Linked DNA regions of Drosophila melanogaster. The protein of the gene in region 3 interacts with the protein of the main gene of each other region in a pairwise test. Each region holds a gene or a part of one and is shown on either strand. Other genes may lie near its edges.

Evidence for each region.
Region 1: the proteins of CG3065 (region 3) and Clamp interact in a two-hybrid assay, tested with the Drosophila melanogaster proteins (one large-scale study listed by BioGRID).
Region 2: the proteins of CG3065 (region 3) and Coop interact in a two-hybrid assay, tested with the Drosophila melanogaster proteins (one large-scale study listed by BioGRID).
Region 4: the proteins of CG3065 (region 3) and CG9426 interact in a two-hybrid assay, tested with the Drosophila melanogaster proteins (one large-scale study listed by BioGRID).

The regions. Positions count from the first base shown.
Region 1 is NT_033779.5:22,164,179-22,172,197, forward strand, and holds Clamp (Chromatin-linked adaptor for MSL proteins), read right to left. Parts: upstream 4,966-8,019; 5' UTR 4,710-4,965; intron 4,466-4,709; 5' UTR 4,358-4,465; coding exon 4,202-4,357; intron 4,143-4,201; coding exon 3,942-4,142; intron 3,889-3,941; coding exon 3,459-3,888; intron 3,399-3,458; coding exon 3,125-3,398; intron 3,076-3,124; coding exon 2,872-3,075; intron 2,810-2,871; coding exon 2,374-2,809; 3' UTR 1,542-2,373; downstream 1-1,541. UniProt on the Drosophila melanogaster protein: Transcription factor involved in X-chromosome dosage compensation in males, the process by which transcription of the single X chromosome in the male is elevated. Binds to the DNA sequence (GA)n.
Region 2 is NT_033778.4:7,488,831-7,495,518, forward strand, and holds Coop (corepressor of pangolin), read right to left. Parts: upstream 3,760-6,688; 5' UTR 3,360-3,759; coding exon 3,116-3,359; intron 3,052-3,115; coding exon 2,219-3,051; 3' UTR 2,006-2,218; downstream 1-2,005. Other genes in the region: CG1620 (uncharacterized protein), read right to left, coding at 5,539-5,967, 6,036-6,631.
Region 3 is NT_033778.4:23,967,290-23,974,136, reverse strand, and holds CG3065 (uncharacterized protein), read right to left. Parts: upstream 3,833-6,847; 5' UTR 3,443-3,832; coding exon 2,240-3,442; 3' UTR 1,904-2,239; downstream 1-1,903. Other genes in the region: mr (morula), read right to left, coding at 1-377, 437-617, 693-931, 988-1,504, 1,566-1,628; CG10904 (uncharacterized protein), read left to right, coding at 4,131-4,541, 4,605-4,994; or (orange), read right to left, coding at 5,360-5,571, 5,629-5,831, 5,893-5,984, 6,049-6,117; CG34213 (uncharacterized protein), read left to right, coding at 6,445-6,479, 6,531-6,621, 6,675-6,847.
Region 4 is NT_033779.5:13,214,936-13,223,151, forward strand, and holds CG9426 (uncharacterized protein), read right to left. Parts: upstream 4,989-8,216; 5' UTR 4,558-4,988; coding exon 4,102-4,557; intron 4,042-4,101; coding exon 3,850-4,041; intron 3,586-3,849; coding exon 2,741-3,585; intron 2,682-2,740; coding exon 2,426-2,681; intron 2,359-2,425; coding exon 2,224-2,358; 3' UTR 1,355-2,223; downstream 1-1,354. Other genes in the region: mRF1 (mitochondrial translation release factor 1), read left to right, coding at 5,152-6,330; Ski6, read right to left, coding at 6,546-7,286; CG16812 (uncharacterized protein), read left to right, coding at 7,794-7,812, 7,937-8,216.

The DNA.
Region 1 (8,019 bases), on a different chromosome or scaffold from region 3:
TTTTCATTTTTATTTGGCAACCATTTTGCTAATGAATGGGTTTTCACGAAAGCACGCTTATGCGAGTTTGACAAAAAAAAGTGTTACCCAAAGCATTAAGTCGACAGACAGGCTTAAGAAAATTACCTAAATTATTTGTAATAAAAGTATTTATGTTATGAAGCCCAAATTATTTATGCCGAGAAGTCATCATTTATGTAGGTAACTGTTGAAATTGCTTTTTTGTTATTGTTTTTAATCGCATAAAAACCGCCATTCTGGACAGGAGATTTCGGTTACATACTGCAATACATTAAGTAGCACTCGAATGGTTTGGTTAACTTGATTATTGTCCAATATTGCATAACAGCAGGATAGGGCTTAGGCCAGGACTTTTAATTCTTCTGAATTTAGTGGGTGAGTGGAGTGGGAAGCTGTAACACACTTGCAAAGGACGGTTGGCATGGTAGGCAGTCGAAAAATGAAATTGTTGTTTAACTAAAAACTAAATACTAAATAGCCAAGATCGGTTCACCAAAATGACAAATATAAGCCAATAGCATAGTCATTTAAATGAAAATGTTACTATAAAATCGTATAATTACTTACTTGTTTAATGGCGTGCCTGCACCATAAAATTTAAGCTTGAGGAACGAGTTAATCTAAAATATTTATGTTTTCAAGAAAAAAAATTTAAAAAAGAAAATACGGAAATTTAACAGTGAAAAGTATATATATTGTTTTGTGTGACTTTCAATTTAGCTTAAAAATGAGTTTGAAATGCTTTGTTATATTTTGAACATATATATAACATCTATTTTAGATGTTGCTTATATTGTTTATCCACAGCTTTAAAATAATTTGATATCAAATTGGAAAAATAATTGGCACGAATAAAAGGACTCTACCAAGCGGCAAAGACCATGGTCAAATTTAATTGGCCGGATAAATATGGATTGTGGTACGCATCCTTTCCGTAACTTTGTAACGATTTAGTTTTTAAGCTGTAGCAGAAATATTAAATAAAAAGTGGACCAACCACAGACACAGATCTTCCTATATAATCATGATTGCATAGTGCATGCAAACCAGTTGACATTAAAAGAAACAAAACTACAATCCCGTGTAACTAAAATGTATTCATTCTTGAATAATCCTATATACATATGAATATAAGTTTGTAATGACCGCAAATTCAAAAATGGACCCTAAGCAAAGTCCATGTTCGCAAATGTATACGTATACGTATTTATCTTGATTTAACTGATGGCGAATTCTAGTAATTTAAAGCTTTATTATACAAGCCATGAATCCTAATTCTTAAACACTTGGTTTTGATTATTGTAAAAAATTCGTTGCCACTTCACAACTTTACTTTAAATATGTAAAAATATTTTATTTTTAACAGATAATACGCAAAAATATAAATATAAGAAGTTTAAAAGAGTGCGTCCATTTTACAAATCAACAGCTCTAATTTTTTTGAAAAGACAGCAGTAATTCACATCATCTAATTTTCGATAAATTTTAACTTTATTTTACTCTTTTACGTCTATGAATATTTAAAGTTTTGTGTATTTATTAATTATATTATTGCCAACATTAAAATTTACTGACCTTATAGCTTCACGTAAGAATAAGATGAACGTGGCAAAACACTAAAAAAATTATATTTAAAGTGAAATGGTGCTTACATTAATAAAAAAAAAACGCATAAGACGTCGAAAACGGTGGAAAATGTGCCTATTTCTGGGATCCCTCTATTCTTCGTTAAGGCACTTGCAAATGGAGTAGGTTAGTAAAAAATTGTATTTTATTCAAATATTTATTTGATTTTATGCATTATTTAATACATACTTATATTAGATAGATTTAATTAAAATATATTTAAGCTTACAACTTTCAACTTATATGTGTGTGTTTATTACCTGTGCATATTCATACGTATCGGATTTGCTCGTATCGTCACCTAATAAATCCATATTTTACACCTACAATTTGTATAAGAGAATAGCCTATAACACTTATAAATACGATGCCTATACATATATGCGTTTAATGTTTAAAGATGTTTAAGTATATTATACAAGCTATCAAATAAATTAGGTTCATTTGTATGCTTATCGTAAAAAGCGTTTTTGGGTTTCGCCCATTTTTGAAGATCCCACATGAAAGTGGAGAAAGGACATATGCAGCTGAAGTGTTAACGATGGAACATCGTTTTCTATTCTTTAATATCATTGTGGTGATATATGCGCCCTTAGAGATGGTTCTGGGGCTAGCATAGGTGGAGGCAGATGATCATAGTAACGCTCGATAAACTGAAGCTAAGCAGGGTGGACTCCAGTGTCTGTGACTTCATTAAGCTGCCTGTCACCTCTGCATTTAAACTATCTATAACCCACCGATAATCACTTCCTGTTGGGCCTCATCCTCCATGTCAGGAATCTCCTGCTTATGCACTATCATCCCATCGCTGCTGGTCTGGCGAGGAGCAGTTTGGCCGTACTTTTGGTGTATGCCGCGGTGACGCTTGAGTGCAAAACGATCAGCGAATGCTGCAGAGCAAATCTCGCACTTGTAGGGTTTTTCTCCGGAGTGCACCTTTGCGTGGTTCTTAAGGTGCGCCGCCTGAGAAAAGGCCGATCCACAAATTTCACACTTGTATGGCTTTTCGCCCGTGTGAATGCGCCTATGATTCCAAAGAGTAGCGTGGCGCGCAAATCCTTTGTCGCAAACACCGCACACATAGGGCCGCTCGCCACTGTGCGTGCGTTCATGGTTCTTGAGGTGTGGTGACTGTGAAAACTGCATGCCGCAGGTTTGGCATCTATGTAAAGATAACGGTAATTAGTATAAAGAGTATAATTTCAAGTAGAAGATTGGTATTACTTATAGGGTTTCTCGCCTGTATGAATGCGCGCGTGGTTTTTCAAATATACGGCTTTAGCAAAGGCCAATCCACAGATGCTGCACTTGTAGTTTTTTTCACCGCTGTGCAGCTTTTTATGGGACCACAGACTTGAGTAACGTGAAAACAGACCACCACATATATTACAACTGAAGGGTTTGGACGGATTTCTGCAGGACAAACACCTTGGTTTTGTTAGCGTAGGATAAGGTTGCAATTTCATGTTATACTCACTCAGTTTTAACAGTAACTGATTGCTTTACCGATCCGCCCACCCCGCTGTGTGAAGCATGGGAGTGCTGCCCCACTAGCACCACGCCGGAGCCATTGCATTTCTGGCATTTGGTCATCTGCTGGGAATTTCGTTTTTTCACAGGATGATGGCCAGACCCACTGCTCGCCTCTCGCTTTGGCGTTGTACCGCCAGTCTGTGCAGCCACAATTTGCTGAAGTTGTGCTTGGGCCTGAGGAGTCGTTGATATGATTTGCACGGGATGCGCCATTTGACCTGCAAAAGATGCGATGAAGTTAGTTATGGTCCATTTAGAATGTAATCTTTCACAACTACCGTCTTGGGCGACGAAGAGCTGCTGTTGTTGTTGCGCTGTTTGTTCAGCCTGCATGCAGGACTCGCAGCGCACCTGCTTTGGACCTTTGCGTTTGGACTGCTGCAGCATAGAGCTTCCACAATTTATGCACTTGCTTGCCTTTGACTCATGTTGCTGCTGCTGCATTACAGATTGCTGAACCGGCTCCAGCGTGTCAGAAGACACAATCTGTATCTGGCCCATCTGACCATTTCCAATAATGTTCTGTGCCTGCACAAGCCCCTGCGCGCTGACCACGGCAATAGAATCGCCGCCCGCTTGGGCGTTATGTTGCTGTTGTTGCTGCTGTTCCCCGTCTGTATGCATCCGCTTATGAGCATTAAGAAGTGCCAAATGAGGGAACATATCTGAACATACGTCACACTTAAAGCTTATGTTGGATATGGTGTTCTGCAAAGAAGAAAATCTTTAGGCTTTGCTTAACGAGTCTTCCTTTTACATACAGCTGCAATTGGCTTATTTTGATTGACAATCTGGATGCGGCCTTGTGCGTCTACCGTGGCGATGCCAAGAGCTGCACCCTGATTGAGAGGCATTCCGTTGACCAGGGCGTAATTGTATCCGCCCACGGGCTGGGCTATATAACACGTCTTATTGTCGTCTGTGGTGGCCAGCTGTGCGAGATTGACGGTACCGCCATTGCCCTATGTGAAGACAATATGAAAAGTCAGCACCAATAACATATAGTAAGTAAACTACTTACATTTGTCGTGTAATAGAAGGTAGGCTGCTGCTCCGTTTTTTGGCCCTCTATTTTGGGCTGTTTAAGAATGGTGCCATCCGCCGTCTGGTATTGAATTGTGGCCGGTTGCCCATTAATGGCATTTGTGAAGATAATGTTTTTGGTAAGGTCTTCCATGGTCCCCAAAATTCGAGTATGCTCAAAAATTAACTTTTATCATACGTTGGCCTTTTATTTACTGCAGCTCTGTCGCGCTTTTCAACACTGCATCACGCGACGCTAATTCTATAAAAGAGAAAAAGAGATGAATATAGTGCCATAGGAACCCAGCGAAAACGACTGATTAAAAATGGCGACGGTGAGACAAAAAATATGTACATACGCGACACAAAACATACACAGACGAACGTTTAATGCAGCAGCTCTTTACATTAACAGACTCTAGTATCTAAACTGGAGTCTAGCACATTTGTTTTTTTATCATACAATATTACACTACATGTGTTATTTTTTTCATTATTAAAATTACCTTTTACGCAACCGGACCACACCATAAATTGCGCACTGCCTGCTCCACAATAAAATTGTTAAGATTTGAGTGGTGTAAAATTGTATTCGTGAATTGATAACGTATTTTAACGATATATTGTTTGGAATAATACAAGATATATATTTAAATAGTGTTATCTTTTTCTAACAAATTCCAGCACTTTAACTTTCAGTCCATCATTTTTTACGATTGCTAAAGAGAGATGGAGACAGAACAACGCTCAGAGATAGAGCAGACGAGCAGCAGTTTTACTTTTTAAAAGTGTGACCGTTTCACGACTCATGAAAATAATCATTTCCCTCGAAAATATACCAAAATTCACAAAGAACTGGTAGGATTTCTTAGAGCCCTTTTACACTAATTCGATAACTCAGAAAACATAAATATTTTTATATACGTTTTGTACTTCGTAATTTGGATTACATCACATGTTGTCTTACATGTTGTCTCTTACTCAAAAGGCAAACGCTACGATCAGTAGAATCTGGCTGTTACTAGCTTTCGAAAAGAAATATCTTGTGCTGAGCTGCGTTAAAAACACGTTTTAAATTTATTGAGACTTAACTTTTAATATTCTACAAGCTAAGGTAACACTGTAAGAGCAAAGACACTAGAATATTCTAGTGTCTTTGGTAAGATCATGGGCCATGGTTGATAACAAATTCCATAAGATAACGAAATTTTACAGGCACTCGACTTTTAACTAATTCTTAAAGATTCCATATAAAACGTACTTATTTTTGTATACTTAAATCTTTTAGGAATTCCTATTTATCTTTATCACTCGATGTAGGGGAGTGAGTTAAGGGACAACAGATTTTTTATGCCCCACGTAGTGACGCAAGTTATCCAACCCATAAATATAGCACTCTACCAAAAGCTAAACAAATTTCTAACTCCAATCTCAGCAGCGTTGCCTTTGCCCTTGTTTTTGACGCCAACACTTAGCCACCCGATATATAACCAAACTTAAAGTAAACACAACTTCCACTTGGAGACCAAGCCATGGTCAACTTATTGCGCTTCAGTCAAACTGCGTCAGTCAGCAAATTTGAATTTCACAATGCTGGGAAATAATTTCAGTGTAAAGCTTTTATCCTAAACATATTAAAAAGCTTAAGAGAATCCTAAAGAAAAGCTTCTGGCCGAGGTTGAGTGGATTAGGATTAAGATTTAGAAGATCAGTCTGAGTCGGGACGAGATCGTGAACAGCTTCAAATCAAAGATAAGCTAGTAATAAAGTGTCTTGTAATAGTATAAGTGAGGAAGTCTGTCGCCGAATAAATATTAATTAATAAAAAATAAAAACTATTCTTTTAAATAATTAAATAGCAGCAATTTTAATTCGCATACGTTTTGGTTTTGAGCTTAAGATCCTGGATGAACAAAGTTCTGCGAGTCCTGTTTGGTGTTGGAAAATTTCAGCTTCCAAAAGATTTAAATACTCTCGGCGCCCAAATTCAAAAATTTATTAGTGTTGGCAAGGCAACCAACGTGGTCAAATGTTTTTTATGACAACAGCATTTAAGGGAATGTCTTGAGATAGTAAGCTTATTTATTAGCTATTTTTGAGGAATGAAAAGACAAGTTTTATGGTAGTGATTTCGAACGATTATGTGTATGGTTTTGGAAAAAATTATGTCAGAAGGAACGGAAGGAAGCGTTTCGGGCATTATAACGTGCTTATATTCTTGTCTTCGGCTACCAATCCTTCTGTTCGTATACTTTTGAAAAGTTCTTTATCTTAAAAAATTAAGTTGTTTTTCTTGATAATTTGTATTGATATGCTTGAACTATTTCGCCACGACCAATTCAACACCCAAAACTTTTTGTTTTCATTGTTTATATTTTGCATTCCTTCTGGCTGTGTAAACGGTATCTCAATGTCCAACAAATTTGCTTAAGCGTTCTCTCTTATTTAAAAATAATTTGGTGGTAATAGAACTTAAATGAAATATATGTATATCTGTTTAGCTGCTTGTGATGTAAAAGAAATTAGAAATTAATTATGTGTTTACATTAAGATATATATCTTTCCCGCTTTTATTCTGTGTTCAAACCGCATGTGTTTTATATCGGCTTAATATACATATGTATGTCGGAGATTGAGTAGATCTAACGCAGTATTTGAATGTAACCGAAATTATGTTTTTGAACCGTTATGTTAAGAATGAGTTAAGAGTAATGAAATTCATGGAAATCGTTCCGTTATTGAGTAAAAATCCTTTGTGTATGTATTCAAATGAGCATGGCGCCAGTTGTTGTTTTGGTAGAGTTTCGTGGAAACGAAGTGAGGATGAAATAATTCAGTGAAGTTGAGGAATAGAAGAAAATCATCGAGGGCAACAACACACGTGTTAGACTTAAATGGCTCCAAGTGTAAAGTTATGACCTTTTGTCGTGCCAACCCAATACGCACGACTTAAACTCCTTAAACCTCCTTGGTTTAATAAAGAGTTGACACACCTAAGAATTGTAAAGTCCAGACTCTATATAAAATTTAAAAATACCGGTTCTCAGTCCACCCTCTGTAAATATTTAAGCGCTAGGTTAAGCTTTACCGGGCTTAATGATCAGTGCTACAATAATTATTTAAACCGTTGTAAGTTCCAGTTTGCACAGGATCCGAAACAGTTTTATAATTTCGTTAGCACTAAGCGAAAAACAAGTTCTTACCCTTCCTCGTTATTTTTAGAAAACACTACGGTTACATCGGATCAGGCAATAGCCCTATTCGCCAAGTTTTTTCAAACAACATATTCAACTTTACCTCATTCCGAACAGCCATACTCTTATGCGGTATCTAAGTCGAATCTAATATTTTGCCCCATTATAAACGAAAGCTCACTGCTTAACGATCTTCAGCGTGTTAAACCGGTCTATTCGCCAGGTCCTGATGGAATCCCTGCCTGTGTGCTCAGATTCTGTGCGGAAGCCTTGTGCAAACCTCTACTGAAACTGTTTACCTTATCTCCGGAATCTTCACAGTTCCCTCATATATGGAAGGAGTCCTTTATGATTCCTCTGCATAAAAAAGGTAGCAAACTGGATGCAAGCAATTACTGAGGAATCTCTAAATTGTCGGCTATCCCAAAACTTTTTGAAAATGTTATCACTCCTCATTTGAAGCACCTTTGTAGATCAATCATATCACCGTGTCAACACGGTTTTATGAAACGCAGATCAATAACCACTAACCTCTTGGAGCTAACTTCTTTCGTAATACAAGGTTTCAAAACTAATCTTTAAACAGATGTCATCTACACTGATTTTAGTAAAGCATTTGACT
Region 2 (6,688 bases), about 16 Mb from region 3:
TAAAAAATAAACCCAAATGTATCTCACAGTTTGTTTTTTAATTTTGATGTGCGCGCGCGCTCCAAAACCGTCGCTCTCTCTTTCGTTTCGCCCGCTCTCTTCTTTTCCTATTTCTTCCGCTCTCTGTTTCTCCTTCGCAGGGCGCACGGACACAGGCACACTCATGCACGGGAGGCTCACATGCACATTTTATCTTCTATTTATTTTCACTTATGCCGCAAAGAACTGCGTTTAATACAGAGGGTCGATGCAGAAGTTTGGTCAGATGTACTGTTACTAACCTCAAACAATCGAATCGCTTGATGGGGCATAACGGCTAATAGGATAATGGCGTCCGCTTCGGTCCAGGGTATCAGGGGCGTATGGGTCCTAAACAAGATTTCCTTTTATGCGGATTACACAGCTAACATTTCCCCCAACAAACTTAGTTAATAGCACTGAATTGATTTACGCACATATATTATGCTAACTTAATTCGTGCCCCATGGCTTTTTTAACTCACTTGTCAAATTCATTCACTCTACGCGGTCCTAGGGTATCCCATAGTCGTCACTCCACTTCAATTCGATTTAATCGTCAGTTCTTATTCGTTTATTATGCGAGTGTTTGATCGATGTAAAAAGCTGGCAAACTCTTTGAAAATCGCTTATCGTCGCTGTGCTTACAGATTGTTTACATTTTCCAAGCGTTTTCGGGCGAATCTTATTTACCCTTGGTTCCACCCTCGTGCACTTTTCCTTCTGCAAGCGAACGAGAAATCGAAAAAATCCATGAACAATTATTCCTATTGTGCGCCTGCTTCTTCTTCCAATTACTTTGGCGGCGTGTTTTAGCTGCAGTCTGCGGTGGCGCCCAGCTTTTTGTTTGGCCCAATCGAACGGCTCCAATTCTGACCCACTTATTGCGGCGGGGACTAGGATTCGAATTCGGCTCAAAATCTTCACTCCAACCTTCACGCACGCATTTAACCATCAAACTGCAAAACTCACGTTCATGCGCTCGCCGCTGCCGTTGCCTCTTCCTCTTCTTCTCTGCCCGGCTCTCTCGTTACGACGCTGCCCTTCTGCTGCTGCTGGTTTTTGTTGTTTTTGTCATTCGCGCCCCTGTTCGTTCAGGGTATCGCGGGCATAGCCGAATTGGAGGTTTAGTTTTTGATCCTCACAATGGCTGGTCACACTGATTCTGCTAACTGTTATATTTCAATTTTTATAAATAGTATAAATGATTATAATAAGTATAAATGATGGTCAATGAATGGCCATGAACATTTTTGTGATTACAAATCAGAGGGGAATCATACTGCTGAAATTAAAAGGAATTTTAAATTAAAATTAAATAGTGTTTCACCTTAAATTTTGGAATTCCAAATGAGTTCCGAAAAGACAAAACAGCATTCAACATTTTAACAACAATGCATGAACCACTAAGAATTTTTATGGATTCTGCGTCTAAATTTCAGACTCTACTCATTAGAAGATGAGCTTTCTGTTTAGCGAAAGTTTTTGAAAGTTAAACTCCATCCAATTGGACCCTATTAAGCAAATCGCAGAACTGTTAAGCCCGCCATTATTCAACGAAAGCTTTGAATCATTTTTAAAACATGGGGAGATGTTTTCAGGCAAAAAACACAACACACCAAAAGGGAATTATCAAGTTGCCTAGGCTCGACCAAGTTTCGCCCATCCGGAGCGCATTGTGATTGGTGAGCGGAGAGAGCGAGCGAGAGCGCGGTACATTAGCATTAACGGCGCATGTGGCGCGAAAATGCGGAGGGAATCACCTTGTGGTTGTTGTTGTTGCCGCGTGCACCACCCTTAAAGAACTTGTTTTGCACTGACAGAAATTTTGAGCCGCCCGTGGCTGGAAAAATGCAATTGCAACAGTGACCGTGGATAATTGGGAACTCGAACTGCGGGCGGGGTGCGCAGGTAAAAGGCGCAGGTGCACCGGAGCGCAGATACAGGTAAAAGTGAGCGGTTATCCTGAGGAAGAAACAAGTAATCATGCTGGCGTGATCGTCTATTTGAAGTGTAAATATGTATTGTAATGCAATATGGTATGTATTGAAGTGTGTTGGTATGAAGGAAAGCAGGCCGGAATACTGATTACATGCTACGTATGTAGGCAGATTCACAGAGTTAGTCAGTCGCGTTCTTATAATACTGTAAGCTAGGCTTATAAAGTAAATCTCCCCACATTCCCCCGGATATACGCGTCCTCAGCCAAACTCCAGTTCCTCGATGAGCACGTTCTGTAATTTCTGGCGCACGCGCAGACGCCGGCGGCTGTCCAATCTTTGCAGGAAGGGCATCAGACTGAGCAGGAACATGCGATCCGCCTCGTCCTGGAGATCTCCACCAGAGGGATCCGTATTCGTGGCCACATCCGTGCTGATATACTTGAATGGCAGATCGGCGGTGGGTGACTGCGAATTGGAGAACACCTTGGCCTCCTGCTCGCTCTTCAGGCTGGATCCGCCGTGGCTAGTGTTATTCGCCTTGGTCTTGGTCACCGCCTGCTCCATTTCGTCGTCGTCATCGAGCACTTCTATGGTGAATACACCGGAACTGGCAGCATCGGCACGATTGCCGCGTTCCTCTTCCAAGTTCTCCGAGGCGGCATCTTCGTCGAAGTCATCGTCATCCTCCTCGTCCTCCTCCCTCTGACTGGGCTCCGACTTAAATCTCTTATTCTCCGGCGGCTGGCAGTCGCGATCCTCGAAGAACGAACTGATGTCCGAGAAGCTGGGCTGGTGTAGCTCCGAGTCATAGCTGTGGCTGAGCTCGCATATGGGCTCCGTAGCAACAATGGGCATTGAGTCATACTTGTCCGGCCCCAGCACATTATTGTTCTCCGTCCAGTGTCCGGGTGGGTGCTTCTTGCTGCTGCTTCGCGTCTGACGCATGATATTCTCGTGAACGGCGGGCTCCATGAACCGCATATCGTTGTAGAAGCGCCACGACGAGGGCGTCTCATTGGACAGGTTATTGCGGATGTACACCTTGCGAAAGTTGTCCCTCAGGTGGCCCCACTTAATTCGGCAGATGTCGGCTGTGAAAGGGGGGAGTCATTTTAGCGGAAAGCGCAGAGGAGAAATAGTCAGCCATACACTCACCTGGCAAATTCACATCCTGACCCACCTCGAACCAAACAGGCGTGATGTCGCTGCGCTTCTGGCCATTGGCATTGTTGCGCAGCCACAACATCGGACGTCGTGAGACGGCGGCAATCAGGCGCTTCACCGTTTCGATGGGCAGCTTGGCGGTGTTGGTGAAGGCGAAGGAGGCGGTGGCAGAGGCGGCGGCAGAAGCAGAGCCGACGGAGGCCGCCGACGATGACGCATTGTAGGCCATCTCCATGTCCAGATCCGAGTGGCCAATTTCCGATAGCCCGATAGCTAGTTAGCCAGATCCAGTTCCGATTCCAACTCCGAGTTTCCCGGCAAGCGACTCGCGCAGCTCAAGCGTTCAGGCAGCACTGAAAATACGAAAAATACGGGCACCACGAAGTGTACGGCCCAGCCAGCAACAACCAGTTTACGTGCCTTTTGGCGGTGCCGAGAGAGAATTGTGGAAAGAGCGGACGGAGCTGGTTGCGACGGCACAGGCAAAGGCGAAGGCGGAGCTGCGGGATCGGGAAGGAGGAGAGAGGCTTGAGCAACAGGCTTTGCCACGAACAGAAGACCCAAGAAGAGGAAGAAGAAGCAGGAGAAGCAGAAGAAGAAGAAGCAGGCGCAGGCGAGGCGGCAGAACAACAACTGAGCTGCCTGGCAATATTATCCGGATGTTAAGCTTCCGCTGCGCTGGCCGCAACTCTGTGTCGTATTTGCGCTTTTTACGGTTGTTAACTTCGCCATTGTGAGCCCACCGTAACGAATCTAATATGCTCTGCACCGAAAACGGCTATTGCAATAGAATTCCACCCGTACAGCGACTTGAGCGGACATGTCACGCGCTTTAGCGGTAAAAGTCTTTACATAGAGCTCTATGGCCCACCCTCCCGTTACGCGAAAGGAGATCCTTTTCCAGGTGACCCAGCCGCAGAGACTGGAAATTCATAGTGTAGCGTATAGAGAGCGGTGTAGTGTACTTTGTTTATTTTTATCAAAACTGGATTTTACTACGGTCGGCTGGCTGGGTCGCTTGGAAATGGAGCTGGAGGGAACGTACAAAATTCACGCCACGCCAGTGGAGCCACCGCCACAGCGCACATACATATGTACATTTCTATATACAGACGAGGGTGTGTGGGAACAAAAGCTCCAGCTGGAACGATCGTGAGCCTGGAACCGAAGACTGTATCCGTTGTCTGTATATGTGTACACACGTACATATTAATGTTTATACGTGTATGCTTGCACGTTTCGGGTTGAGTCTCCTCTTCTTGGGACTGCGAAAATGCAAGTGAAGCAGACATGACAAGTGGCGACCGGGGTTATTTATCAGATCTTCTGTAGCTTTGCGGTTGGGTTTCAGCCTGACATTTGATCCTCGCCGCAATTTATACTCGTCTTTCTACCCACAGTGCGAAAAACACACACACACATTCGTATGCACAATGTACGTGGACAGACATGCGGCCAATAAATGGGAATCCAACACCGTAATTGGCCATTTTCAAGAACGCCTTGCAAAGAAAACTGGGGAAAAGATACAGACATACCTAAGTATCTATGTATACGAGATATGTATGTATATTTATACGGACCGGTTCTTTGTTTCCGATCCGGTTAACTTTTAGGGAATACGGAGTACGATTGATCTTTCGTTAAGATGGTTATTTGAAATCCGTCAGCTTGTCTTTTAAGTAGCGATTAAACTAATGCATATTTGATAAAATTTGGTTAATTTTCGTTTAAATATTGTTTCTTCTATATGTAAACAAAGGCTTTTAAAGGGGAAAATACTAGGCCGAATAAATTAATAATATGATGCATACTTTGTTTTGAACCAAATAAAATAAATCATGCTCATCTAAGATATCTAAGATGTACTTTTATGTAATATTAGTATCTGATTTGTAGCGAATCTTACCTGTGAGTCTACAAAGCTTTCGATGTACATATATATTTATCTTTTCTGATCATACATTACTTTCGTAAATTGAGAATTGAAATTCATTAAATTATTGGAGGTTTTAAAACATTTGGTCAAATATCGACAAAACAATAGAATTGACTTTACAGATATACATATTACATTTATTGACATTCAACGAAACTCAAGGATTGAGCGAAAATATATTGTATATATAAGCGATAAGTACTTGGTTCCGGAATCCACACGCACATGTAACAAATAGACGAATCGCACACTTAACAATAGAGAAATTCTTTACGGGTTATGAGAGATGTCGATTTAAGAATCTGGAATATATATGTTTAGACATATGGTATATACTACACGTACAGTATGCATATTTATAGTGAGTGGTAATGGTAATGAAGCGCCCTGCAAATACATCGCCTGGCCCAACCGAATCGAAAGCGCCTGCGCTCGGTTATGATAATGATGATGGTGATTGTGATAGAGATGTCGTTTACACTGTGGACAGGCTGGGTTCTTCCTCGACGTTGTTGTCCTCGTCCTCCAGGGGCAGAGATGCGGATGAGCATCGCTTTCGGTTCCCCCCGGAAGGATTACCTACCGCCTGACTCCCGGTCATAATAGAATAGCTCTTAGAGGCGGGTTTTCGAGGACTGGCGATGGTATCCTTCTCCAGGGCAGACAAATCCCCATTGCTGTGACCATTGCTGCTATGCGGTGAGCAGCTACCATTACTGTTAGCGGTGCCCGATACGATCCCGGCACCATTTCCATTACCACTTCCGTTGCCACCGCCCGCCTCGTTGATGAAAACATCCATGTGATCGATGGTGTCGTTTAAAGCAAAGCTCTGATCCCGGCGCTCACTCTTCTTCCACAGATAGTAGAAATGGACCAGCTCGCGCATGGTTCTAGTGCGCACCTGAAAGAGCCCAACGAGCCCATAGATTACTTGCTAGGGCGGTCCGCAGGCAATGGACGCTCCTTTACCTGGTTTTGACGTATCTGATAGAAGTCCTTGCCAAACCGCTGAATGCCCTCCTCGAACTTTAGGCACTCGTCCTCGGACCAGCTGCTCATGGTATCAGTGAGAGGCAGGACGTTCATGCGCTTGCGTCGTAGGGCTTCTTTGAAGTCGTAACCGCACTGGACAAGCAGATGGAGCGCCTGCTCATTATCCTTTACCACCAGCTCCTGATCGCCAGCGCCACTTGTCGCAAGCGGAGCCCTCGGAGGCGTGGCTGGAGCTGTAATGGGAGCCGGCGGTTCGATAGTAGCACCTGTAGCTGCGCCTTCCTCGCCCGCCGTAGTCTCTGACCCGTCATCCGGCGGAACTATCGATCGGGTTTCCTGTATCTTGGCCAGATATTCCTCCACCTCGCGCTCGCTGACTTGGCTGGGCTCCCAGATCAACTGATCCTCGTTCTCATATGGCAATATATCGCCATATTGCGACAGCCCCTCTGGGATCTCAGCCTGATAGTCGTGACCCACCATTATTATCTTCCGAGCATCGTCCAACTCGGATTCGCTTTCCTCCTCCTCCTCGGCCTCCACTTCATCGAACAGTGTTTGCAGTGGAGTGACTATAAAAGTGTTACATAATGGAAGTGATAATTAGATTCTGTCACGTTTTATTTTTA
Region 3 (6,847 bases):
TTCCCAGTTGCTGAACTCATCGGTACCCGAGTCCTTGCATTCCTTAATTGTTTCTCCCTTGGCGAGTTCCTCGGATAAGTCCGTGGGCCCCTCTTCAGTCAACCCAGTGACTACGCGTCGCACTGTGTCGTTTCGTTTCCGCAGGTAATCTTTGATTGGAGCAGTTACCATCTCTAAGATGACTCCGGTACTATCCAGATGGCGAATAGCTTTGATGGCTGCCACGTAACCCGTTAATATGTCCATGGTGTTGACTCCAGGATGCAGAATCCTTGCCTCTAGCGAGTTCCTAAGGGATTCAGTGAGGTAGACTCGCATATCTATTTTCTCCATGCAAATCTTTAAGTCATCTATAGCCGGAATGGAATCGGGATAGTCTGTTTACAAATAAATACATGTAGTTGGGGGACTCTTGGCTGAATCTACGGGCACATACCAATTATAATGCTGAAGAACTGACCAATAACGCTTTGGGCAAACGTTTCGTACATAAAGTAAGTCAGTTTGACTTTGAAGGATTTTACAGACTCGGGAACTTCGATATCGCTTATGCTATCCTTAGACTTCCATTCCGTGAATATGTTTGTGAGCCAGGACATTATGACATCCGATAGCCACTGCAAAGGTAGGTAATAAATGAGTTACTTAAGTAGTTTATTTATGACAACAGAAGGTATTCCCATTCAACTTACAGTTTCCAGTTGCTTAAGATGACTTCTGTCGAAGATTCCCATGCATGTATCGCTGATGTGCTCCTTGATTTTAAGCTTGATGAGAGCGGTTAAAGCACTCCCAGTTAGACGGTCAATGAGGTTCATCTCGAAGAGCTTCATGTTTGTCTTGTTAACCATATCCGTCAGCCTTTGGCAGCAGCATTGCTCTGCTTCGAAGTTGCAGCCAACGCAGAGGAGCTCATCGAAAACATCAGAGTCTGAAGGGGAAAGCAAGTGAGCATGGGAACCACAGGAGTATGTATCGGATACATACCAACTGTGGTCAATGCGAGATTTGAGGCCTTGGTGAAGAGCTTAAAGTGCACCCAGTAGAAGGCCCCAACGACCACACTGAAATTGGGTGGCAGTTGAGCCAGCAAGCAGTCCCTTAAGCAGTTCTTAATGCCTTCCTCCTGCATGAGCTTCACCGTCTTTGCGGTGGGCTTTGTCTCAGCTCCAACTAGCTGGATCAGCCTGGGCTTCACCTGCATCAGGCTCTGAAAGCTGTCATGCAGCTCATTGATGGCGTCGATGAACTGGGTGAACAGTCCGTTCTTATCGGGCAGTGCTTCTATGGCCAGAGCTTGGTCGTTAATCCAGCCCTGCAATTTAGACGAGACCAAGCCGTCGTGGATGTGCTTCCAGAACTTGGGCACCAGGACATTCCGAATAGTCGACTGGATTTCCAGGTCCACAACCGCCGCGAAGGTGTCTATGCTGCCCAACACCATCAGGTGCTGGCGAACATTTTGGAATACATTCTCCTCAACCGGATCATTGGATACAGCGTTCTGTAAGAGTTTCTGAGTGCTAGCGCCAATCCCTATTACTGAACCGAAGGAATAAACCTACCGCTCCACCCAAAACCGGAAAGATTCTCAGTACATCCGCCCACAAAGCGTCAAAGTCGCACATCGCTTGTGTGTAATTATTTTAAACAGTGCAAAACATTGCTTGAAACTCTGAATCAAACGCCAATGGTGATGATAATGCTGTTATCGATAAGTCGATTCTATCAACCGAACCGATAGTCGATGAATCTTTGATTTATCAGAAATTATACATATATCTATTATTCATTCTTATAGGCCATTATTAATCATATTCCAAATTTCAAACTGGATCGAGTCCTGATCCTGATGAACTATCAGTTCCCCATCAATTAGCCCATAAATATAAATAACAGTTTTACTAAAATAAATTATATTAATAGATACGGGGAGCTTAGTAGCCAGAAAATAAGAAACAGCAAGAGTTTCAGAAATACAGATGTATGTCTTCACGTTCCGGCAAACACAAACAGTTAGAGCTAAAATTAAATTGCATACGACTTATTTACATACATACATACAAATTGAGATTTGAGAGCCGGCGCTGATCTTGCATAGGAATATAGTTAGATTGCGAATTTATTTAATTTTATTGTACTGTGTGCGTCACCCGACACACGCCCGTGTGGTAGCCAATATCGATTGGATGCGGATGCCAATGGCTAGCGACTTAAGGAGTAAGGAGTAACTATGAAACTATCGTATCTTCAAATGCGTCTGCTGATGCTTTTTCAAGTGGTCGCTCCGCACAAACCGGCGACAGCACTGCTGACAGGCGTAGGGCTTCTCCCCGGTGTGCGTTCGTATGTGTCGGTTGAGGTCGTCCTGCCGCTTGAACCGCTTCTCACACTGCCGGCAGTAGAAAGGCCGATCCTGAACGAACTGGGGCATCCCATACGTGCCGGGTCCGTCCGCCGGCGGTAGCTGAGAGAGGGTATTTACAATTTCTTCGGTCGGTTCGTATTTTACCTCGGGCTTCGCCTGGTTAAGGAAATCGGGCAACTGGCTCTGGTTGTGGCCATGGTTATCCATCTGGTGTTCAGGAGATACGATCTGGTACTTGTCGCTGTGCTCCGGCCGTTCCAGCTTAATCTTTATCGGCTTGTGGTGGATGTCGATAATGCTCACGGGCTGCTGGTGCTGGTTATGCTGCTGCTGCTGGTGGTGGTGCTTCATGCTCGGCTCCCCGCAACCAACCATGGCGGCCATGAAGTGGAAGCCCGAGTCCGACTCCGAATGAATCTGCTTCTTCGGGGGCTTGAGCCGGACTCCACCACTGCTGCTCGGTACTGTTCGCTTCGGGGTGCTGCCCTTTAGCTGGCGGTCGTGGGTAGCTAGGTGCTTGGTGAGGTGGTCGCTGCGGGAAAACTTCTTGGTGCACTGGATGCACTCGAAGGGCTTCTCGCCGGTGTGCGTCCGGAGGTGCCGGTTGAGCTCATCGGAGCGCGTGAATCCCTTGCCGCACTTGGGCTCGCTGCAGACGAAGGGCTTGATGCCCGTGTGCCAGGTGAGGTGGGACCGCAGGTGGGAGCTCTTGCCGTAGCTCTTTGTACAGTTGTCATACGGGCAGACGAACTTGCGCTTGGGATCGGAGGCGAGCGTCGTGGCCATTAGCTTCACACTGGGCATTATGCGGATCTTAGAGTTGCCGTTCCCGCCGTAGTGCGAGTCGTCCTCAGGCTCAGTCTCAACTCCGTGATGGGGCACATTCTCCACATTCGCCTCGTCGTGCTTGACGTCCTCGAAAATCGTCGAGGCCCGCAGTATCATATCGGACGCCTGCTCGTGTATGTTTGCGCCGCTCATCGTGGGAAACGCTGGTGGTGGTTTCATGGGTTCTATGGGCGTTGATGTCGTCAGCATTTGGGGTGTGGGCGTGTTTGGTATTACTTGTGACATTGTGCTTACGTTTGGGGCTCGCTAGCGCCCTATCCGGTATGTCTGGAATCGAGAGTGGAGGTACTTTACTGCCAGCTGCGCGCCTACCGCTCCCTAATTACCAAAATTGCGTTTATCCAAAACTACACTCCTGTACAGGAAACTGTGTTCAGTGGGCGTCGGCCTAGGATTTATCAGTTCTGTGGTCCCTTGTCACCATAGCCAGCTCGGAAAACGGTCTATAGTCGGTCCTGGCGTCCCGCACACATTTTCCAATTGTTTTCGGCTAGCGCGCTTGCATATTCCAGCGGATTTGCTTATTTTACTTTATTTTATTTATATACTGAAGTATATCCATTTAATTGCGATGAGAATTATCGACTAGTCGATAGGACCAAGAGATGCGACTGAATGCGTGTACGGAGATATCGGATTTCAATGTTGTATTTATTGATTGCTATTAGTTTAGCACAGTTAAATATCTAAAACTAAATGTGTAGTTAACATTAAGAAATCAATATAAAGCGCAATGGAATTACATTTTGTTTGATAGATCATAAAACTATTCATCGTTTCTTTTTTTTTTCAAAAAGTACTAAAAAAAAATACTGCGTTGCTGTTTACTTTCGATAGTTCAGACTCGCCCATCCCAAATGTGCACTGCAATAAGATTCGATGCATATTGACATATTGTTGTTAGTTTGCTGAGATGCCAAATAAATCCGAGGAGCTGGGCGAAACGCAACTGACCAAAAGACAGAGGAGGAAGCAGACGATCTGGACGCGGGAGAAGATCGCCAAGCTAATCGAACTTTACCGCTCGTCGGACTGCTTGTGGAACCACTATTCCGAGCTATATAAAAACAAGGATTGCAGGGCTAAAGCCATCGAATCCATCTGCGCTTCGCTTGAAATAACGAAACACGACTATGGCAAGAAGGTGCACAACCTGCGCAATCAATTCAATGCAGAGCTCAAGAAGTTGGAGAGGAGGCTCGAGGAGTCTGGAGGAGATCGAGATTCGGAGAAGGCTTGTCGATGGGAGCACTTCAAGACGTTGATGTTCCTACGATCTGTTATAGAACCACGACCAGGCTATCAACAAGGTGCTCCGGGCAAGGTGGGCTCCTTAAATCGAAATCTTTAGCCCATAAGTTAACCAATCTATCCTGGTTTTTGGTAGAAATTGGTATCGAAGCTGGACATGTGCTACCCGGATCAGGATGTGGAAAAGCAGAGCCAATCCTCGATAGAAAGTCTGGAATCCATGATCATAGAGAACGATGCAGAAATCTGTCAGCCTCCGAAGGTCAGCGAACCCATTCCTCCGATGCCTCCTGAACCTGCGCCGTCTTCCAAATTCGTTGATCCAAATCGAACTGTCGAAGCTCCAGCTGCTCCCTCTCCCTTCCACTTACCATTAAGTGGTCGTGATCAATGGGACGCATTTGGCGAACTAATCGCCAGTGAATTCCGTAACCTGAACTCTGAAGTTTCGCGCAAGAGGCTGAAGCGGAAAATAATGCAAGTTATGCTGGAAGTCGGCGAAGAAGATGATCTTACAAACAGTTGATTGTAGAATTATGAACATGTTTAATACAGCGGACACCGTTTTAGGTATAAATCTTTAATATATGCAGCACACAGATCATGCGAATACGTCATCGCAAGACACTTTGTATGTACATTTTAAACCCCATTCGATATAGAACGGAAGTGGTTGAACTTCGCATTGTTAAGCTATCAAAATCGTAAGGCTCGTTCTCGCTACTGGTAATTCATTTGCATTTTTATTATGGTAGGGGAGTTATATAGAGTACGTGGGACCTAATATTACGGAACAGTCGACAGCTGTTGGAAATTCATGAAGGACTGCGAAAAAGCACTAGATTCAACAGATTACAATTAGACGAGAGAGTTATATCAGACGCACATTTGTCAGAACTTAAAGTCCTTAATGGCCTGCGGCAGATCAGGTAGCTTGATGTCTTTAATCTGTTGCGGAATGTTCATACTCTTCACGGCGCTCACAGCTCGGGCAGGTGCAGCCGAGATGCCCGCTTCCTGCTTGACGATCTTGTTCTGCTCCTCGATCCTGGCCATTATGTCGTTCATATTTGTCTGCAGGACCATTCCGCCCATTACCAGTTCTGAAACGAATTCATGATAGCTGAATCTGAATGGATTGCCAAAGTAGCTTTCCCAACCTGAGAGGATGTGGTGGACGGCATCGGCGTGGAATATCAGGTCCAGCTCACACACGTTTTCGAAGCACTTGTCGAGGGTTTCCACGAACACCTGAATCAGGTCCAGGATTCCCAGTTCGCTCTCCGAGGAGTCCACGCAGAAAACGAAGTACAGCGTGGCATAGTGTCTGTAGATGAGTTTGTAATCCGATCCGCCAATCAAACTGTTGGAGGAAAGAGGTGCTTTAAGATATTCCAGGAATTTGCGGGAACAATATTGCTCACCTTCCGCCCTCCAGAAAGTTGCAAACATTATCGTCCCGCTTGGACACCAATTGGAAAGTCTCTTTGATTATTTGTTGCTGCAGGCTTTCATCCTACAAATGATAGTGACAATTTATTATGAACTAGATTATATGGATTATATGTCGCAGTACTTACGAAATACTGATAGAACTTCGATAGCCGCGGCTTCCCGTGATTGTTAAAAACGAGAATGGCTTTTATCATCTCAACTTCTAAGATAAGTCAACAAAAAAAATGAAAATGTTTAAACTGCCAGCTGTTTTGCTTTTTCGACGAGGGCTGCAAAATCAATACTTGGTATAGCATCTATAATATCGATATATCTTTATCTGACGTATTTATTTCAAAAATCTAATAAGAATCATGCATATTTTAGAAAGTTAGGGAAAATATATTTTTTAAAGCAATTTCTTAAATCGGGTGTTAAAAATCCGTACAAAAAAAAATTCTATGGATTTCTGATTGTTGCCCATCTCTAATGCCTTTAACCTCGCGGTCTCCGATTTGTTTATTTCTTATTTTTATTGAATTATGAATATTTTGACAAAAGTAAAATACAGCTGCAGGTACTCTGGGTTTTATTTTGTAACTCCCTTTAGTTAACGTATAGTTTGCAGGGTGAGCTCGGTTTTAAACAGAGATGTGAAGCAGCACGGAAAGCAATTCATGTTTGATACGCGGGAAGAAACTTCTTGGAATTCAGATGAGGTATCATCCTAAGATTTGGAAAAAAAGAATATAACTCCAAACGGCCATTTCAGGGAACCCCCCAATTCATTACCATTAGCTTGGAGGAGCCACAGAAAGTAGCTGGATTTAGTTTCCAGTTCCAAGGCGGATTCTCTGGCCAAAAATCCGAACTGATCATGTACTCCGCTGACGGAGCCCAAGTTCACCAAGAGCCATTCTACCCAGAAGATATCAACTCCCCACA
Region 4 (8,216 bases), on a different chromosome or scaffold from region 3:
GTTCCCATTACCTGCCCCAAGGGAACTGCCACTTCAAGGCCACTTTTCCCGTTTTCTCTTTAACAGTATGGCATTAAACATTGAAAAATTGCGTGTACGGCTGTCTGACACTGGCCGTGGGAAAATGCTGCACTTTGTTGGCTTACCAGATTTAGAAAAACAATATAAATTTACTATCGCGCCACGCCTTAAGCTCGTTTCGAAAATGTTCTTCCAGAGACCTCGGCGTATATTCATCAACTGTTTTTCTATTTTGGTACTGCCCCACTTACCAGAGTGTTAACAGTATTTCGGCGCATGTCAAGTAGATTTTCTGCTTTCCTTTTTCTTTTATGTAAATTAACATTAGTATTTTGTTGTTTTACCGAATATTATATTTAAATTAAATGTTACTGCTTTTGAATTATTCGCATTAAATTATATGTATTTGCTTTATTCATTGTTACACATCTGATATATCCAACATAACCATTTTTACATTAACTTATAGACAGCTACTGAAAAAAATAAGATAAATAATTTAAACAAATTTGACACGTTTCCATATTATATTGCTTTTATGCCGCATAAAATATTTATATTTGTCAAACAACATATGTTTGTCAATAATACGTACCTCTTGTCAGTTCGAATGGTTATATGTACACATATGTTTAAGATTTATGTATAAGTCTTAAAGCAACTTTTATATTTGGGCGAAATGTTTTTAAGATTGTCCGTTACAAAATAAAAAGATTTGTTTATATTTGCTTCGCAGACAAAAACATCAACTACCCCTAAAAGTAGGCAATTCTTACTGAGCAACAGCTACGTTGAGTCATTTTTCGTGTGCGCACACTTAGAATTCCCAACTGCTTCTGGCCGTTTGGTCATGGAGAGCCTGTTCGTTTTCCGTTTCAAGTTATCGCTTCTCGGCCTTATGGCTAAGATCAAAGTGTAGTATCTGTTCTTATCAGCTTAACATCTGATAGTTCCTCCATTGGAGGACAACAAATGTTAAACTGATTTTTGGAATCAGACGGAGTGCTAGGAGCTTGCTCCACCTCTGTCGCGGGTTGGCCCGGTATTGCAGTACCGCCGGGATTTCGGCCCAACTTAATAATAAATATAAAACCAATTTGAAATGACTTGTGCTAAAACTAGACTGAGTTTTATCATAAACAAGTTAAAAACTTAGATTTCAAGATTTAAAAAATCTTTACCCCAAACAGTTAAACAATTGTGTTTGGCTTGCGTATTTCCGGCATTTCTGTATTTCTCGAAAATAACATCTTTTCTTTTTGTAAGATGATAAAAAGGTTAGGATGTTAAAGGTGGTCGTGGTCCCACGATGAAAGAAGACATTTTTATTAGTAGTTTATAATTCGTATATTTATTTCGATAATACACCTATTATGAATACAGTTCGCATCTTTGATTGTTTGTATTAATTTGCTTTGGTACAGTTAGGGACTTTTTCTTATCAGTATGCTATTTATTAAAAGTAATGAAAAACTTGTTACGATACTTTAGATTTGGATAAAAACCAGAATTAATTATAACAGACATTCTAAAAAAATAATCACTGATACATACATACGTTTTAAAAGATTGCATTCGTATAAATATTCGAGCATTAGAAGTAGAATACTGTCGGAATGGAATTAGTCGAATTAACATACAGATAAGGAAACGTCCCTAATGACTATACTAATACAAAGTTCAGTGGAGATTTCGCTCTTTTCAAGGGCGCCTCAAACATTGTTCCTAACACTCTGGTCAGAATTCAACAATAAAATTAGAGAATACATTTGAAAACAAACAAATAATTGATTCAAATAATGTTCAGCAATTACGATACGTTAAATTTGTCGTTTTCAAAGTGAATGCTTTGGTTTCTTATATTTTTCGGTGTTTGGTTTCGCTTTTATAAAGGACAACTCGAACTACGGAACAATCTGAGGCTGGCTGCTTCCATCGTGGCTAACTATTAGCATGTGTACTAACTGGTGAATAGCTGCGCTATGCTCCCACATACAACATCAACCATACCCATAACAACGCGCTTACATATCTTTGGCGAGTGACCACTACGTTCAATTGAATCGAAAAAAGGGAAGAGACTTGTGATGTGTGTAACGTATACAATGTCAAAGAGCTACAGTTAGAGAGTGTTTTTCGTGTGTGGTTTTCTTAAAACGACGACAGATTTTGTGTTTGACCCTTCCGAACCAGTCCGAGGTCCTAAACAACCACTGCTCCTGCCTCCGAACGGCTAACTGGTAGATCGGGACAATTCTTCCAGGTGTCCGAAAGCGGATCATAACATTCGACAGCATTGATAGTCACTTGGGCTCGGTAGAAGTTTACCTCGCAGGGCTGGCAGAGAAGCATACAAAAACAATGATTAAATTATGAATCAAATAAATTGAAATATACTTGTTACCTGATCACCGCCAGCTACGTAGAGCAAGCCATCGGCGGCGACCACGGCAGGAATGGCTCTGGGCACGTTTAATGCACACACTGTAGTCCACTTATCCTCGTCGAAGCTGTAGCGTTCCACGGAGCTGAGAATGTCCTGACTGATGCTACTGCCTCCAACCACATACAAGTAGCGATCCAGAACGGCCACACCCATTTGACAGCGAGCTGTTTGCATGCGGGCCAGCTCGTTCCACTCTTTTGTCACTGGATTGAAGCTGCAATGGATTTTTATAAAAATATATAACTACGAATATAAATATTTTTTGTTAAATACCTGATTAAATCCGGCAGATGACGGGTTGTTGTTGTGCAGCCACCGACAATGTAAATGAGACCCTCGAAACTGACCACACCCATGCTGAATCTAGGCTGCGGCATGCTGCCCATTAATTTCCAGAGATCCTGCTCCGGATCATAGCACTCCATGGAGCCGCCGATGTCGTCGCCTATCCAACCGCCTACGGCAAACAGATTTCCGCCCATGGTGCAAAGACCGAACTCGCAGCGCGGCACAATCATCGGGGCAATCGGTTGCCAAACATCGTTCTGTGGATCATAGACCTCGCCATTGGCCAGAATCTGTGAACCGCGCTCTCCTCCTACCACATAGATCTTGCCATTCAATGCTGATACACCTGGCAGGATGCGTCCCACCTCCATAGGCGCCGTTTCCGTCCACTCGCGCCGGAATATATCGAATTTGGCCACCGTCTCGAAGATGCAGTCGGCCGAGTTCCAGGTTCGCGGCGTATCCCGATGAGATCCACCAATGATATATATGTTCTTCTTGGCCAGCTGACGCGGACATACCCGCAGCGGCACCAATTGTCCGCGCTTGGACGCAATGTCCCGGCAAATGGAGCGCAGGGCTATCTTCACGGACATGTCGCGACAGTCGTCCTTCAGAGCCTTGTCGATCACCTTTACCGGAACAAGCGCCATGCGCACGTGGGACAGGACATCGAAGACGTAGCAGCGGCGCTGCGTCACGTCGTGCTTAATCCAACGAAGCGCCGCCTGGAACACCTGCGACTCGGAGTCTACACGCAGCAGCTCCGAGTTCAGTAGCTGCGAGAGTAGAGTTTGTGGCGTTTCTAGGAACTCATCTTCAAGCGTTACCTGAACGAAGAAAGGAAAGTACCAATCAGTTAAAATAGAAATATATATTTTTGCCAAATGCTCAAATTTAAACGATAAATTATTAGGTTCAAGGCAGAAATGAAAATAACTTTAAATATTATTATTTTGATATTTTTTATCGTTTATCTCGTTGAATATTTTCGTTTCCAATAAATATAGAACATTGCTTGACTATTTCCATGACCCACTTTTCGTTTGGGCGGTACACCTACAAATCAAGCCTTTCAAGTGCATCCAACTCACCGCTGGGAAATTCGCGTGGACAAAGTTCAGTGCACTCTTGGCCAACGACTCGCAGTTGTGGGCCTCGGCGAAGCGTAAAATGCCCAGGGCATTGGAGGCGTGCAGCTCGCGGCAGAGGAACTCGCAGCACCCGTCGACCACCTCGTTTAGCTGCAGCATGTCGGCGGCGGCCAGGAGCTCCTGGACATTGGACTGTAAGATCAAAGAAGGGATTAGAATTTGGAGACCAAGCGACTAGGTGTATGGACTCACCTGGGTGATTTCGCAGCGACCCGTATAGATGAAGTCAAGCAGGATGTGCAGGATATCGCCGTCGATTGTGTGCAGCACAACGGATTTTTGCTTGACCTCATTTAACCCGAGCTCGGGTCGAAACATGGCCTCGAAGTAGGCACTGGCTGCACTCAGGACAGCCCGGTGGGCACTCAATGTTGCCATTCCGGCGATGATCTCCACGTCGCAGAAACGGGACTGCTCGCGCAGTTGGTTGAGATTGGAAAGCACCTTGAACGGATATTGGGCGTTGCAGTAGGAGGGCAGGTTTGTGCGATGGCTGGCCGCTGTGGCTCCAGATCCCAGATTTTGGCCAAAGAAGTCACCGTCGCCGCCGCCGCCGGTGGGATTCTGATTGGCGTTCTGATTGGCATTCGCATTCGGACTGGTATTGCCATTGTATTCGTGTATCTGGTATGTTTTCAACGGTGGCATTTCGTCAACTGTTGGGTTTTTACTTTTCGGCGATCTTGAATCCGATATCGCCTTAATAAATGCACTTTTCGGGGGCGACAGCACAGCTCAGACTCTTCGCATTCAATTGTTTGGCTTAATTAAACTTAATTGCTGCACTCTGCGCTCACTTCACCCTTTGTTGTTGCTGCTGCTGCTGTTGTTGTTGTCGCAGTCCGTTTATTTTTCTCCAATCAAAAGGCGAGCACACACACCCACACACGCAATACAAACGACTGCAGGCAAAAGGTTAGCATATCACAAATTAAAACAACCGAAGTCCGCTACTAAGACAGCTATTTCCCCATTAAGATGAAATAGTGTTTTTAATATTTACAAACTGGCATATTTCTTTGACTTTTCAATGCACTTTAGTATGTAGCTGGAACTGGAGTCGATGTTTTTGGGCGACTATCGATGTTGATAGAAGTTGCACTATGCCTGAATATCGATAAGTTCAGTTTTTATCCAGAACTTATTGATAGTAATCGCTGCTATCATCTTTGGTCCACCTCTTGTTGTTATTTAATTATTTGTATTTTATTTTCAATGAATTTTCAATGAAAAGCTGACAAAATGATATCGCGCAAACTACTAAACCTTCGACTGGGTTACCTGGCACGCCGTTGGGCCAGCACGGATCCGCTGAGCATTCAGAACGAGAAGCTGCAGGCTTATTTGGAGTCTCTACGCCAGGAATACTACGCCGTGCGAGTCAACGCCGCCGGAAACAGCAAATCCTACGCCCGTCTCGCCCAGCTGGAGGGCGTGGTCAGTGCCCTGGAGCAGCGACGCGTACTAGAACGGCACATCACCAGCGCCAAGGACATGGAAGCGGAGAAGGACGAGGATATGCGTGAGCTAATGCGCGAGGAGAACGAAGTCTATGTGGATCTACTGGGCAAGCAGGATCAGGCCTTACTGCAGGAGCTGCTTACGCTCTCTGACGATGAGGAGTATCCGGCTCTGATCTTCGGCCTGAATGCCGGCGCCGGTGGCCAGGAGGCAATGCTATTCGCCCAAGAATTGTACGAAATGTACACCGGCTATTTCGAGCACATGGGCTGGGAGTGGGAGGAGTTTGCCAGCGAGGGCACCGACATCGGGGGTCTGCGGCACGCTAGTCTGATGGTGAGCGGCGAGGATGCCTTCCGCTGGCTGCGCTATGAGGCTGGAGTTCACCGCGTACAGCGGGTGCCGGCCACTGAAAAGTCTGGACGCATGCACACCAGCACCGCCTCAATTACAGTGATTCCCCGACCCGCCGACATCCAAGTGCACATCGCTGAGAAGGATCTGAAGATCGAGACGAAGCGAGCGAGTGGAGCTGGTGGACAGCATGTTAACACCACCGACTCGGCTGTAAGAATTGTTCATCTGCCCACGGGTCTGGCGGTGGAGGCGCAATCGGAACGCTCCCAGCTCAAAAACCGGGAGCTAGCGATGAAGCGTCTACGGTCGCGACTTGTGCAACAGCAGTTGGAGAGCGTTGAGGCTAGCAAAATGGCCACCAAGAAGGCGCAACAGGGTAGTCTCAATCGCAATGAGAAGATCCGTACCTACAATTTCGTCCAGGACCGCATAACGGATCATCGAATTCAAGGCGGTACGCTGCACAACCTCAATGGTTTCCTCAAGGGCGGCGACCAACTGAGTGGACTAATAGAGAAGTTGCAACTGGAACATCGAAGGGAACGACTAAAGGAGCTCTTGGATAGGTGGGAGCCACCAAAAGAAGCTATTGAGAAAAACTAGAGCTACTTTCGTTTGTTACTACATTTATACGCCTGTGTTTTAGAGGATAATTGTGCTTTTGCAACAGAAATTATATTAAAAGAGAGCAAGGGCAGCCATCTGAATACAATGTTAAAGACACTATTTAATTTGTAAATGTTGGTTCCTTTTTATTATAATTGTTGCCCTTCAATTGTAAAAAACGACAAGATTGGAATAGAAAAGATTACTTTATTTCAACCAACTTTCGCAAAGTCAGAGGCACTGCCCATGTGCAGAAGGTGCTCCTTGACTGCTGCCTCCAGAATGTCCCTTATTTCGCGGCAACCCGCCATAGCAGTCTCGATGACGGTTTCCAAGTGATCGATGTGGAACCGCTCACTCATCTCAAGAAAGGCGATTTTCTCGGCGGTAGGCAAGGCAGCCACGGTTAGTTTCGGTCCGCCGGATACCTCCTCGAACTGAGAGATGTCTGTGAGCGGGATGTTCGATTTGCTCAGTGAGGCGGTGCAGGCGACAATGAACTCATTGAGGCAGATTCCCGCATCAATTAGCGCCAGTGTGGCGGCATTAAGAGCCACCGCATAGTTGGCGCCGTCGTCTTGGAGCACCTCCACGTATATGTCTATCTGGGAGCGGGGATATAGTTCTGATTTAATGGCAGCACTTAGCGCCTGCTGCAGGTACAACTTGAACTCCAGAGATTTGCGATCGCCGCGCGGCCTATTTTTGCGCTCCGCCGTGGAGAAGGTTGCCTGACTGTACTGACAGTTGATGACGGACTCTGTCTGATTGCCCTTGGCCTGGTGGGGTCCATAGACGGCAGCCAGAACCTTGGTGTTTCCCTGCTCCATGTAGGCACTTCCATCGGGCTGCTCGAAGACTCCCAGTTTGCACTTGATGCGGCGCAATTCATGAGGACGTCGTCCGTCCAGACGGAGGCCCTGCTCACTGAGCAGATCGTATTTACCAGACATATTTTGAAACTTTAGAAATACAATTATTTTGATTTTAACTAAATATCACACGTGCGGCGGGATTTGTTTACAATTTTAACAACAGTGTGGAAGTACTAAAAATACCGACAGTCCATGAAAAAATCCTTTTTATACTAACTTCTTTTAATATGTACACCGTACGTATGTAAGAGTAAATAAATAATTAAGCATATATTGCCAAAGTGTACTACATTAAATCACGATATATAGAAATTTAATAAGGATTTTAATAAGATTCTTTAAATTTAAATTTGAACAGTGTTTGCTTTGATTACCCCTACTACAACATTTTGGAATTTAACAACACTAACACATGGTCTAATCGATATCCGATAACCGAATACCGATAATCGTTCAGGATTTGTGGTAACTCTAAAATATATAAATAGTTTCGAGTGCAAAAAACGGAATTTATGGGAATAAAATAAATAAATAGTAGCTGAATCGTGTAAGAATCTGTGCTTGCCAGCACCAGAAATACGCAAAATGTCCAAGTCAAGCGCAGGTGGGTTTATAACATCGTGAAAACGAAACAAACTGAACAGACGCTTCCGGGTGCGAAACAAAAATAAAGACCTAAAAAATATCACACACTTTAAAAATAATGAACTCACCACCGAAAATTACAGCACGCTGGGTAAAATTCTTCAATGCGGCCGGCATCCCATCTCCTGCGGCTGCCGGCTATGCCCACGTCTTCGTGGAGAACCGCATCCAGGACGACATGCTGTTGGATCTTAACAAGGAGTATCTCCGGGAAATGGGCATAACCTTGATGGGCGATATAATCGCCATCCTGCGGCACTCAAAGACCGTCTGCGAACAGAATGCCCGGGAACAGGTCCTCACAACGGAGGTGGTTCAATCAGTTGTCCGACCGGTATCGCCAAAACCCAAAGCGCCGGTTGC